Linked DNA regions of Macaca fascicularis. The protein of the gene in region 1 interacts with the protein of each later gene in a pairwise test. Links are inferred from orthologs where the notes say so. Each region holds a gene or a part of one and is shown in the gene's direction. Other genes may lie near its edges.

The links.
Region 2: the proteins of GPKOW (region 1) and SH3GL1 interact in binary tests that used the Homo sapiens proteins (3 or more experiments, as listed by UniProt). The two-hybrid records come from large-scale screens. The link is inferred for Macaca fascicularis from reciprocal best matches to the Homo sapiens genes GPKOW and SH3GL1.
Region 3: the proteins of GPKOW (region 1) and TCEA2 interact in binary tests that used the Homo sapiens proteins (3 or more experiments, as listed by UniProt). The two-hybrid records come from large-scale screens. The link is inferred for Macaca fascicularis from reciprocal best matches to the Homo sapiens genes GPKOW and TCEA2.

Annotation. Positions count from the first base shown.
Region 1 is NC_088395.1:49,285,679-49,290,086, reverse strand, and holds the start of GPKOW (G-patch domain and KOW motifs-containing protein), read left to right. Parts: upstream 1-1,410; 5' UTR 1,411-1,431; coding exon 1,432-1,607; intron 1,608-2,372; coding exon 2,373-2,527; intron 2,528-2,626; coding exon 2,627-2,751; intron 2,752-4,408. UniProt on the Homo sapiens protein: RNA-binding protein involved in pre-mRNA splicing. As a component of the minor spliceosome, involved in the splicing of U12-type introns in pre-mRNAs.
Region 2 is NC_088393.1:5,136,282-5,140,809, reverse strand, and holds the start of SH3GL1 (endophilin-A2), read left to right. Parts: upstream 1-1,567; 5' UTR 1,568-1,714; coding exon 1,715-1,759; intron 1,760-4,528. UniProt on the Homo sapiens protein: Implicated in endocytosis. May recruit other proteins to membranes with high curvature.
Region 3 is NC_088384.1:120,189,191-120,193,373, forward strand, and holds the start of TCEA2 (transcription elongation factor A protein 2), read left to right. Parts: upstream 1-1,357; 5' UTR 1,358-1,599; coding exon 1,600-1,660; intron 1,661-4,183. Other genes in the region: SOX18 (transcription factor SOX-18), read right to left, coding at 1-569, 770-1,127. UniProt on the Homo sapiens protein: Necessary for efficient RNA polymerase II transcription elongation past template-encoded arresting sites.

The DNA of each region.
Region 1 (4,408 bases):
CCTTCCTTCCTTCCTTCCTTCCTTCCTTCCTTCCTTCCTTCCTTCCTTCCTTCCTTCCTTCCTTCCTTCCTTCCTTCCTTCCTTCCTTCCTTCCTTCCTTCCTTCCTTCCTTCCTTCCTTCCTTCCTTCCTTCCTTCCTTCCTTCCTTCCTTCCTTCCTTCCTTCCTTCCTTCCTTCCTTCTTTCTTCTTTCTTTCTTTCTTTCTTTCTTTCTTTCTTTTTCTTTTTTAAGACAGAGTCTCGCTCTGTCGCCCAGGTTGGAGTGCAGTGGCGGGATCTCGGCTTACTGCAAACTCTGCCTCCCGGGTTCAAGCAATCCTCCTGTCTCAGCCTCCTGAGTAGCTGGGACTACAGGTGCCACCACCAGCCCGGCTAATTTTTGTATTTTTAGTAGAGACAGGGTTTCACCATATGAGTCAGGCTGGTCTCAAAGTCCTGACCTCAGGTGATCCACCAGCCTAGGCCTCCCAAAATGCTAGGATTACAGGCATGAGCTACCACGCCTGGCCAGTAGGCACTTTATGTCTATTATTTACTATTGTAGACAACTGACACTCCTTCCCCCGCCCCCGACCCTGACTTTTTCTTTTTTAGAGACGGGGTATCGCTCTGTCACCCATGCTGGAATGCAGTGGCGCAATAAGAGCTAAGTGCATCCTCGAACTCCTGGGCCTCAGGCCATCCTCCTGCCTCAGCCTGTGGGCTAAATGAAACTACAGGTGCACGCCACCACACCTGGCTGATTATTTCTAAATGATTTACTTCATCAACACTTCCCACATGAGTAGGGCACACAGTAGGCGCTCCATAAATACTTGTCAAACGCCTACACGAAGGAATCAATGCCTGGCAAGAATGAATCCACCTTCCACCATGCCTACCTCGCTAAAAACTACATTTCCGGCCGGGCGTGGTGGCTTACGCCTGTAGTCCCAGCACTGTGGGAGGCCGAGGCAGGCGGATCACGAGGTCAGGAGATGGAGACTATCCTGGCTAACACGGTGAAACCCGTCTCTACTAAAAATACAAAAATTAGCCGGGCGTGGTGGCGCATGCCTGTAGCCTCAGCTACTCGGGAGGCTGCAGCAGGAGAAGCGCTTGAACCCGGGAGGCAGAGGTTGCAGTGAGCCGAGATCACACCACTGCACTCCAGCCTGGGCAACAGAGCAAGACTCCATCTTTAAAAAAAAAAAAGAAACAAAAACAAAACAAAACAAAAAAAACTACATTTCCCTGTGCACTTGGCGCGACGCACTCCCACGACGTTTGAAAGAGCGACAATTACTTCCCACGGCCCCTTACCGCCCCCTCCCGCCGGTGCCACAGTGGTTGATGGGAAGGTAGTTTTTACGCACTTTGGCCGGCCCCTAGCCATCTGAACCCAAACTAAATTTCCCAGCAAGCAGCGCGCAGGCCTGGGAAAAGGGGCAAGATGGCTGACTCCGAAGAGGGTGTTTTGCCGCTGACGGCTGCTTCCACTGCCCCAATTTCATTCGGCTTCACTCGCACGTCCGCACGGAGGCGGCTGGCCGACTCGGGAGACGGCGCGAGGCCATCTCCGGAGGAGAAGGATTTCTTGAAAACCGTGGAAGGGAGGGAGCTGCAGAGGTGACGCGCCGGGTCTTTCACACCTTGGAAATCGCTGCGGTGGGCGTAAGCGGGAGGGAGGAATCTCACTCAGTCGTTTGTCTTGGTGACAGTGACCTGTTAAGCCTGAAGCACAGCCTGAGTAAATTCGTGGAGGCCAGAAGGCTGGAGTTTATAAGAGGGGTGGGGAAATTGGGCCTGATAGCCGTGGGAATTGCGAAGAGAGGATGTATCACTGAGAAGAAGTGTCTTTAGGACTTGAGGACACTGAGGTGTGTGCGTTTTGGGAGAAGGAAAGAATGAGAAAATGACAGGACCTGCTAGTGTCTCAGCTGAAGTGGTGGGGCTTCTCTGATATGGGGAACGGGATGGAGCGGCAGATTCAGGTTGATGGAGGCCACCATCAGCTTAATGAGGAGAGGAGAGTCTGAGGGAGGGATTTCCAGAAGAGAATCAGGCATCTGGGAAGCTGTTTGGGAACCTGGAGCTAGGGAGGGTCTAGGCTGAAGATAGTGATTTGTGGGCCATTGTGGAAGCCGGTCTTGAGTTAAACAGAGAGTCCAGGACTTATTTCTCGAAGGCACTGACATTTACGAGTTGGGGGCACTGGGGGGGATAATCCAAAGAATGCACGATCAGAGAGGTACAGGAGATCCAGACATGGAGTAGAGAAGGCATGGTCTGTGGGGCTGGGGTGAGTTTGGCTCTCGTGTTTTCTCTGAATAAAGGAGTGTGACCCACTGACACTGCCATTCTCCCAACCCCACCCCTCTGTGTCCACATCAGTGTGAAGCCCCAGGAAGCCCCCAAGGAACTCGTCATCCCTTTGATCCAGAATGGCCATCGCAGGCAGTCACCAGCCCGGCCCCCTGGGCCATCCACAGATACTGAGGCCTTGGCAGATGGGGTGCTGTCCCAGGCTGTGAAGGAGCTCATTGAGGGTGAGTGATGCCCCTTTACCCTTCCCCAGTGAAGGAAGAAGATGAAGAAGGTGGAAGGATAGAGTGGGACTTCATTGCTCCCTCCTATTCTTCCCTTAGAATCCAAGAAGTCTCTGGAAGAGAGAGAGAATGCGGGTGTCGACCCCACGCTCGCTATCCCCATGATCCAGAAAGGATGCACCCCCAGCGGGGAAGGGGCAGACAGCGAACCCCGGGCAGAGACAGTGAGCTGGCCCCTTGTCCCCCTCCTGCCCCAGCCTTTCTTTGCCCTGTCTGCTAGGCTTTGTCCCTGCACATAGCAGGGAAAGTCTGTGTGCTAGAGGCCCGCCACCTGTCCTTTCTCCTGTCATCCTTTTTGGAAGCATTACCAAATGAATCTGGATATCTGGATGCTAAAAACGTACTTGAATCCTAGGATTATCTGAATGAGGTGTGCAGCAAAGGGAACAGGAAATGTAAAGGCCCTGAAGGTAGACACTGCCTAGAGTGTTTGCGGAACACCAAAGAGACTAGTGTGACTGAAGTGGAATGAGTGAGGGGAAGGGATAGTAGACGAAGTCAGAAAGGAGATGGGGGTGCTAGACAAGGCAGGGCCTTGTAGGCCATTGTGAGGACTTTGGCTTTTACTCTGAGTGGGATGAGAGCCTAGGCAAGCCCTGAGCATAGATGAAATATGATTTATGATTTGACAGCATCCCTCTGGCTGCTGTGAACAGACTCATTAGTGAAGGTGGAAGCAAGGGGATGAGTAGTCCAGGCTAGAGATGCTGGGGACTTAGACCAGAGTGGTCTGGAAGGATAAGTAGGGTTTAGTGAGAGGGAAGAACAGAGTGAGTGTTCCTGTTGGTAGTAACAGCCCAAGCAATGGCATAGTGGCAGAAAATCGATGTGGTGTGTGTCCATCAGTGAGGCAACATGTGGTGTGTCTGGAGTGAATGGGAAGGAGTGATGATGGAAGGTGACGAGGAGATGTGAGAGGCGTGTCTACAGGAGTAACCAAGTCTGTCTTTCATACCCACAGACCTGACTTTTCACCTCTTCTTTCATAAATTTCTTGCATTGCTTCTTTGGAGTCTAGTTCTCCTACAGCCCCAGAACACTCTCTTTCAACTGAACTGTTCTCTTCAGCCTTCAGATGTGCTCTGATTTCCTTCAACTTTTTTTTGTTTGTTTGTTTTTTGTTTTTTGAGACAGAGTCTTGCCCTGTGGCCCAGGCTAGAGTGAAGTGGTACGATCTCGGCTCACTGCAACCTCCCGCTCCCGGGATCAAGCGATTCTCCTGCCTTAGCCTCCCAAGTAGCTGGGATTACAGACACGTGTCACTACCGCCTGGCTAGTTTTTGTATTTTTAGTAGAAACGAGGTTTCGCCACGTTGGTCAGGCTGGTCTTGAACTCCTGACTTCAGGTGATCTACCCACCTTGGCCTCCCAGAGTGCTGGGATTACAGGCATGATCCACTGTGCCCAGCTCCTTCATCTTTAAAGAAAAAAAAGATCCTCACTTCCCTCTTCATCCTTTCATCCTGTTCCAGCTTTAACCTCATTCCTCTAATTTTTCCCTCTATAAACCTCCTCCTGCAGCTTTATACATATCAGGTGACCAAAAATTCCATCCATCCTTCCTCTCACTCAGCATAAAAACCTTGGAGTCGGCCGAGCCTGTAATCCCAACACTTTGGGAGGCTGAGGTGGGCGGATCACCTGAGATCAGGAGTTCAAGACCAGCCTGACCAACATGGCGAAACCCCATCGCTAGTAAAAATACAAAAATTAGCTGGGCATGGTGGAACATGTCTGTAATCACAGCTACTCAGGAGGCTGAGGCAGGAGAATCGCTTGAAACCAGGAGACTGATGTAGCAGTGAGCTGAGATTGTGCAAC
Region 2 (4,528 bases), on another chromosome or scaffold:
CTGTAATCCCAGCACTCTGGGAGGCTGAGACAGGCGGATCACGAGGTCAGAAGATCGAGACCATCCTGGCTAACATGGTGAAACCCCGTCTCTACTAAAAATACAAAAAAATTAGCCAGGCAAAGTGGCCGGCACCTGTAGTCCCAGCTACATTCTCCCAGAGGCAGGAGAATGGCATAAACCTGGGAGCTGGAGCTTGCAGTGAGCTGAGATTGTGCCACTGCACTCCAGCCTGGGCGACAGAGCAAGACTCCATCTCAAAAAAAAAAAAAAAAAGGAAAGAAAGAAAACAGAGACAGAGAGAGTTGATGGGGCCAAATTATGCAGGCTTTGTAAAATATGTTAGGAAGTCTGGAGTGTATCCTAAGGGTGGTAGGCCGAATTAAAACAGGGGACTGGTGTGATCTGAATTGCACTCTTTTTTTCTTTAGATGGAGTCTCACTCCATCGCCCACGCTGGAGTGCAGTGGTGCGATCTCTGCTCACCGCAGCCTCCGCCTCCCAGGTTCAAGCGATTCTCCTGCCTCAGCCTCCTGAGTAGCTAGGATTACAGGAGTGCGCCAACACGCCCAGCTAATTTGTGTGTGTATGTGTGTGTTTTGTTTTTTTTTTTTTTTTGTAGAAACGGGGTTTCACCATGTTGTCCAGGCTTGTCTTGAACTCCTGACCTCGTGATCCACCCGTCTCTGCCTCCCTCACTGCTGGGACTACAGGCGTGAGCCACTGCGCCCGACCCTGAATTGCATTCTAGAAGCATCTTTCTGGCCGCCATGCCAGGGCATGAAGCCAGACCTAGATGTCTCCATGTGTCACGTGGGCAACTGAATGGATGAACACAGGACAGAGAGAGAGGAAGAGAGGTGGCCAGGCACGGTGTCTCATACCTGTGATCCCAATACTTTGGGAGGCTAGGGGAGGAGAGGGTGGATCACCTGAGGTCAGGAGTTCGAGACCAGCGTGGCCAACGTGGCGAAACCCTGTCTCTACTAAAAATACAAAAATTAGCCGAGCGTGGTGGTGCTCGCCTGTAATCCCAGCTACTCGGGGGGCTGAGGCAGGAGAACCGCTTGAACTCGGGAGGCGGAGGTTGCAGTGAACCGAGATCACGCCACTGTACTCCAGCTTGGGCGACAAAGCAAGACTCCGTCTCAGAAAAAAAGCAAAAAAAAAAAAAAAAGAAAGAAGGGGAGGGAGCCTGAACACTTAGAGGAACTGGATTTAGATTTAGCTAAGATGAGCAAACAGGAATCTGGAGAATCGTAACCAGGCAGAGGCCCCTTCTACTTCCCAACCTCCCTGGCCAGGTTTAAACTAAGCGCCTTTCCCAAGACGTTAGGGTCACCTCCGGGACTCCAGAGGGCGCTGAACCTGCTACGGCCCCTCTAGGCTCCCCCCGCTCAACTCACTGACAGAGGCGGTGTCTCCCGCGGCAGACAACGTGCACGTGCGCTCTCCAGCCGGCAGAGGGCGCGCGTGCGCAGACGGGGCCGGGGGCGCGCGCGGGGGCCGGCACCGGAAGCGTGCGGTTGCCATGTAATATCCTGGCCGCGCGGGCGCGCGAGCGGCTGAGGCGGCGCCGGGGCGGGCGCGGAGCTGGCAAGCGGCTGGCGGAGGCGGCGCCGACGGGGGCTGCTGAGGCGCGCAGAGGGTCGGCGGCGCCCGGGAGCCTGTCGCTGGCGCGGTCCGGGCGGGAGGCTCGGCGGCAGGCGGCAGCATGTCGGTGGCGGGGCTGAAGAAGCAGTTCTACAAGGCGAGCCAGGTGAGCTCAGGCCCAGGCAGGGGCCGAGTCCTGGGCCCCAGGCTGCCCGGATGAGGGGGCCAGGCCCGACCTGGCTCGGGAGGGGGCCGGAGGGACCGAGGTAGGGACGTTGGTGCGTGTCCCCCGCCGGGTGGGAAGAGCAAGGCACGGACGGGGGCGATGAGGTGGCTCAGGCCCTGCCCGCCATGCGGGCTCCAGAAGCGGGGACAGAACCCCTGGGAGGAGGGGAGAGGCACCCAGGGGCTGCCCAGGGACGCGGACCTCACCCCTCCTCCCCTCCCCTGCAAAGGCGGGGTGCGGGGAGAGAAGGGGAAGAGAGGAGTCCCGAGGCTGTCGACACAGGATTCTTGCCAGATAACCCAGAGCCAGGGAAAATTGCTTCTAGAGCAGTTCTGTTCAAAATCCTCCGGATGGGCAAGGTACAAAGTTGAAAAGGTAGAGGGAGAAGTCAGTTTCCCCTCTCTGCTCCTCGGGCAGCCAGCCCCGTCTCTCTCCCCAGAGACAGGGACTGTCATCGACTCCGTATGTCCCTTTCGTAAGATACGTGTGTGCCTTTCCTTTAAAAACACGTACACTGATAGCATTTGCCACAGAATCCTGTGTGCTGTGGTTTTCATTACTTGGAGGTCACACTGGAGCGAGATTTCTACCCCTCCGTCAGCACTGTTGACATCTGGGGCCGGATTGTTCTCCGTGGTGGGGCCATCCTGGACACTGCGGGGTGCTGAGCAGCGCCCTGGCCTCCACCCTCTCCAGGCCGGGAGCACCCCCAAGTCGTGACAACCAAAAATATCTTGAGACATCACCCTGTGTCCCCTGAGGAATAGAATCAATCTCCTTCCCTCTCTACTTTCCTTCCTTCCTTCCTCCTTTCCTCCCTCCCTGTCTCTCTCCCTTCCTTCCTTCTCTTCTTTCCTTCCTCCCTTCCTTCCCTGTCCCCCAGGACTACTGCACTAGACCATACTCCACACTTGTTGGATTTTTTTTTTTTTTTTTTTTGAGACGGAGTCACTCTCTGTCGGCCCAGCTGGAGTGCAATGGTGCAATCTCAGCTTACTGCAAGCTCCACCTCCTGGGTTCAAGCAATTCTCCTGCCTCAGCCTCCCTGGTAGCTGGAACTACAGGCATGTGCCACCGCACCCGGCTACTTTTTGTAATTTTAGCAGAGACAGGGTTTCTCCATTTGGCCCAGGCTGGTCTCGAACTCCTGGCCTCAAGTGATCCGCCTGCCTCGGCCTCCCAACGTGCTGGGATTACAGGTGTGAGCGACTGTGCTTGGCCTACTTGGATCTTTTTAATGGGTACATTGTATTTCATTCCATTAGGTGTACCATAATTTATTTAACCAGTTGTCAGTTGATAGATATTTCTGTTTACCGGAATTTTCTGCTACCATTACTACAATGAATAGCCAGTGAATATCTTTGCTCACCAGTGGGATTCGTTTTATAGGATGAATTCCCGGAAGTAGAATGTTGCATCCCAGCCTAAGTGCATTTGATTTGGACAGATAAAGGGTTTTTTGGAAAGTCCAGGACCCATTGCCCATGAATGTGGTGAAAGCTGTGGATCCACTCTCCGTAAAACTGGGCACACTTAAAATTTTCACTTTGCAACTTCAAATCTAGCAAGCCTCAAATTTGTCTGGGCACGGTGGCTCACACCTGTAATCCCAGCACTTTTGGGAGGCCGAGGTGGGAGAATCACTTGAAGCCAGGAGTTTGAGAGCAGCCTGGGCAACATGGCAAAACCCCATCTCTACTAACAGTACAAAAATTTTGTATTTTTGCCTGTAACCCCGGCTACTAAGGAGGCTGAGACAGGAGAATCTCTTGAATCCAGGAGGTAGAGGTTGCAGTGAGCCAAGATTGCGCCACTGCACTCCAGTCTGGGTGACAGAGCGAGACTCCGTCTTGGAAAAAAAAAAAAAAAAGCCTCAGATTGTTGAATCCTATTGGTCCATGCACTGCAGGGTGAGGTTGTGTGGAATTTGTGTGGATAGAGTCCACCGAGGAATGAGCAATGATGTGTTTTTTTTTTTTTTTTTTTGAGATGGAGTCACTCTGTCGCTCAGGCTGGAGTGCAGTGGAGCAATCTTGGCTCACTGGAAGCTCTGTCTCCCGGGTACACACAATTCTCCTGCCTCAGCCTCCCTTGTAGCTGGGACTACAGGTGCCGGCTACCACACCTGGCTAATTTTTTGTATTTTTAGTAGAGACGGGGTTTCACCATATTAGCTAGGATGGTCTTGATCTCTTGACCTTGTGATCTGCCCGCCTCAGCCTCCAAAGTGCTGGGATTACAGGCAGGAGCCACTGCGCCCGGCCTGAGCAATGATCTTAGCAAATGCTTGGGCCGAGGTGGCAAACAGGGTTCTCTGCCCACAGTTTGGAGAGGCCCAGTGGGAGCAAAGAGAAACAAGTCCCCAGTAACACCCAGCTGGTACCTTTTGTCCCTGGAAAGAAAAAAGTAAGGACCCTGCCAGGTGCTGTGGTTCATGCCTGTAATCCCAGCACTTTGGAGGCTGAGGCAGGGGTTCCCTTGAGTTCAGGAGTTCAAGACCAGCCTGGGCAATATAGGGAGATCTCATCCCTACAAAATATCGAAAAGTTAGCCAGGTGTGGTGATGTGCACCTGTAGTCCCAGCTACTTGGGAGGCTGAGGGGGGAGGACCACTGGAGCCCAGCAGTGCAAGGCTACAGTGAACTATGATCGTGCTGCTGCACTCCAGCCTGGACAACAAAGTGAGACCCTGTCTCAAAAAATAAA
Region 3 (4,183 bases), on another chromosome or scaffold:
GGCGCTCTCCAGCGGCGGGGCCTCGGGCGGCGGCGACAGCGGGCCGGGGTACGGGCCGGGCGTGCCCAGGGTGCCGTAGTACAGGCCAGCGAGCGGCGCCACCGGGGGCGCGGTCCTGAGCGCCTCCGCCAGGGGAGCCCCGTAGCAACCGCCGGGGTCCCGGGACAACTCGGTGGGCGCGTAGGGCGCGCGGAAGGCTCGCAGCGCGCAGTCCTCGGGCGCCGCGGGCGGTGGGAAGAAGGCAGCCTCGCCGGGCTCCAGGCCGTCCAGAGGCGAGCGCTCGGGCGTCGGCAGCCCCAGGCCGTCGAACTCGGCGCCCAGCGGGGGCAGCTCGCGGAAGGCGCGAGCCGAGCCAGGCGCCGCGGGGAAAGGCTCGGGCGGTGGCTGCGGGGGCGCTAATCCGGGGAGCAGGAGGCCGGGCTCCAGCCGCCGGGCCTTGCGCGCCTGCTTCTTGCGGCGCGGCCGGTACTTGTAGTTGGGGTGGTCGCGCAGGTGCTGCACGCGCAGCCGTTCGGCTTCCTCCACGAAGGGCCGCTTCTCCGCTGCGTTCAGCTCCTTCCACGCTTTGCCTGCGGGCCGCGGGCGCCAGTGAGTGGAACGCCGTCGGGCGGGTGGGCGCCGAGCCCTCCGTGCGCCTGGGACGCCCCGCGAGGGTTCGGCGCAGCCCCCCGTACACCGCGACCCCGGACCCCCGCGCCCCGCGCCCCCCGCCCCCTCCGGCCCGAGCCCCCCCGCCCGCTCCCCCTTCCGGCGCCCTCCCGCCGCTCACCCAGCATCTTGCTGAGCACCGCGTTGTGCAGGTCCGGGTTCTGCTGAGCCAGCCGCTTGCGCTCGTCCTTCGCCCACACCATGAAGGCGTTCATGGGCCGCCGGATGCGCGACTCGTCTGCCGCCTGGCGTTCCCCGCGGCCGGCCGGGCTGAGGCCATAGCGCCCCGGCTCGGGGCTGCGCGGCGGACTGCGCTGCGGGCTGGGCGGCGAGGCGGGCGCGGCGGGCGCGGCGAGGGCGGCGGGGGCGGCGGCGAGGCCGCGCGGGTCAGCGGCGGCCCCGTGTCCCGGGGCCCATGCACAGTCGCGGCGGGCGGGCGGGTCGTCCTGTGCGCCGTAGCCGGGCGGCGATCTCTGCATTCCAGCTGGGCGCGGCCTGGGCGGAACGGAGCGCGGGAGCGCGGCGGGCGGGCGGCGGGCACTGCGGAGCCGGGCGCGAGGGCGGGCCAGGCCGGGAGGGCGGACGGCGGTGGGGACGGCGGTGGCCTCGGGCCGGACGGGCGCCCAGATATAGCGGCTCGGGGCCAATCGGCGGCTGGGCGGGCGGGCCGGGGCGGGTCGGGGCCGCCCCCTCCCCGGGGGCTCCCTTTCTTCTCTGGCCGGGCGGGATTTCGCGGAGGCCTCCCCCGCGCACAGCCCCCCCACCTCCCCCGCCACCTCTCAGAAGGAGAGACCCCCGGGTGGGCAGGAAAGGGCTGCCGATGTGGGCCGGTGCTGCCAGACTTTCAGAGGCGAGCTGCCACCCACCCACGGAGTCGGACCCCCGGGCAGTAACGGGGAGGGCGGCAGTGTCCCGCTCGTTGCCGTTCCCCGCACCCCCCTAGGAGGCTCCATGGGGAGGAGAGGGCCCTTTTGCACACCAAGTTCTTGCGAGGCTGCCTTCCCAACAGCCGGTAAGTCCTTCCTGGAGCGCAGCGCCCTCAGAAAAGCCCCCGGCTTTGGAGAGGCGCTCTGACTACCCAAGGGCGCCCATGCACCACGTTCCTGTCAGCACCAGGGCCTTTGAATGCTTTTATGGGACAAGGTGGTCTTCGTGTTTCTGTCCTCACGCCCAAACCAACGCTGCCACAAGGCAAAGCTGACACAGGGAGGGAGAGAGCAGAGGCCCTGGACAGAGCCCACAAAGAGAAGGGGGAGCAGGGATGCAGAGGCTGTGGCCTCCTCCCTGCCCACCTCAGGGCCCTTGGGGAGGGGCCTGAGACCCACAGGGGCTGTCCGGCTCCCCTGCCCAGCCCAGGCCACCGCTGCAGCAAGAGGCAGGGCCGACCTGGGTCCTTCCCGCTGGCCCCTCCCTGGACCCTCTGACCTGGGGAGGGCCGGGTTCCAGAGGAGCGTCCAGCTTCCTGAATTTTCACTGTCCCCTTCCCACCCCATCAGGAGGGGATCTGGCCTCCAGAGCTGAGGGTCTCCCTCTGGAGGTCCTCCCCTCCCACTGCCATACGTGGTTCTACTGGAGGAGTGTCAGGTGTCCCCAGCAGCCCTCCAGGCAGGGTCAGAATCCCCCCACCTCACAGCACATCTCCTCATAGCCTGGAGGCTCCGCAACTGCCCCCCACCCACCCCTGTGCTGGGAGCCCCGTGGGTAGAGGCCACAGATCTTGGTGGCCTTGAGCCTGTGTGGCCAGCAGTTCTTGGGTCTCTGTCCCTGCCAGCCTCGCTAGGCCACATCCAGCCTGTGATGTGAATGGGGGGGGCCCTATGTGGGCCTTGCAGTGCTCCTCAGAGGCTGTTCCTGAACTGTCCCCAGGGGCGCTCCTGCCCTGAGGCCAGCACCCCCCACAGGGGCACCCCCACCGAGGGCTGTTGCGGTCGGTGTCCAGCCCTCCCCAAAGCCCCACATCACAGTCTGTCTCGACGCCCATCGTCCCAGCATGTGGGGCTGGATCTCCCAGTCTGGCCTCCAGGTCTCCCCTCACTCCAGTTTGCCCCACGGGCCTAGCACCTCGTTCACAGACACTGAACCAGTGCTGGCTAATGGGGGGCCCTTGGGGCACCAGGAGGTGTGGCCTCTGGCTTTTCTGGGGAGGCAGGCAGAGTTGTGGCCACAGGGATGGATGGGCTTACAGGCCTCTGCTGGGTGGTGCTAGTTCCCCTTCAATCTCAGTGTGGGTGGCTGGACGCTTGGCCAAGTCTGTGTGGGTGGGCCTCCTGGGCAGCTGGCAGGAAGGTGCAGGGGGGTGGGGAGCTGTGTGAAGACCCCCAAAGGGCTGCCACTTGGCAGAAGCTTCGTCTACTCACAACCTTAGGGATGGAGTCTGGGGTCACCAGGGCCTGGCTCAGCCTGGGCAGTGGCTGGTCACTGGGGCCTGGGAAAGAGGTCCTCAGGGTCCTCTGCAGCAGCCCTCACATGTTGGGAGAGATTTGCAGTTCCCTGGGGGCTCTGCTTGGTCCTCTGCCGCCCCTGAGAGCCCAGAGTCACTGGAGCTGCTCTAAACATAGTGGCAGGCAGTGTCCGGCATGACCTCATCGCCTCCTCATCCCCTACAACACCCACCAGCAGCCGCCTTGCCTGGCGCCAGCCAGTGACCCACCCTCTTGGCTGGGCTGTGGGACTCAGGTGTCCGGCCGTCATGTCCTGTGAGCCAGGGCTGGGTGGGGAGCCTCCTGGGGTGCTCCTTTCCCTCCACATGGCAGGGAGGAGGCGGCAGCCCCGGCCCAGTGTCCAGATGGGACAAAGTGAGGGTAGAGACCACAGTCAGGGTGGCGTGATCTGGAGTCGCAGGGCTGGGGGGACTCTCCAGGGCTGTACAGGGGATGGTGTGGGTGTGGCCAGCTGTGCTGAGGGAGGGGAATCCGATGAGTGTCTGTGCGTCTGTGTGTGGCCTGTGTCTGTCTGTCTGCCTGGGTGTGGGGTGAGGGGGACTCTGGTGCTGGAGGCTGCCCAGGGCCTTGGGAGCCAGGCAAGCTGGACTCTCCCAGGAAGAGATGAAGACCCATAATAGGTCCAGGACCAGGGGTCCTGCTCCGTGAAGGTTGGAGGGTCCCCAAGGCTTCTCTGGCCACTGAGCTTGGGCCCCAGCTTTCTCCAAAGGAGGGCAGGCAGTTCATGAGTCTAGGGGCATTCGTCTGCCTCTGGAACCCCACCTCAGTCTCTCCTGGACCAGGTGGGCTACAGCCCACCCTTGGGAGGGAGCCTATCTGTAGCCCCCAAACCCCAGTCAGAAAGGCAGAATTTGGGGGCAAGCTTTCTCTACAAGGGTGGGACTGGCCTGGGCACTGAGTGGACACTCTCCTGCCTACCACCTGCCCCTCTCCCTCAGCATGGACAGGAACTCGGCCTCCAAGTGAGGCCTGCAAAGGACGCTGGGTAGTCCCCCTCGGTGGCTCTGGGTGGGGGCTTGGCTTGGCACGGCTCCGGGCCGGGATGGCGGGACCTCCCAGGCACTGCCTGGGCACAGACCTCCCAGGCTCCCGCC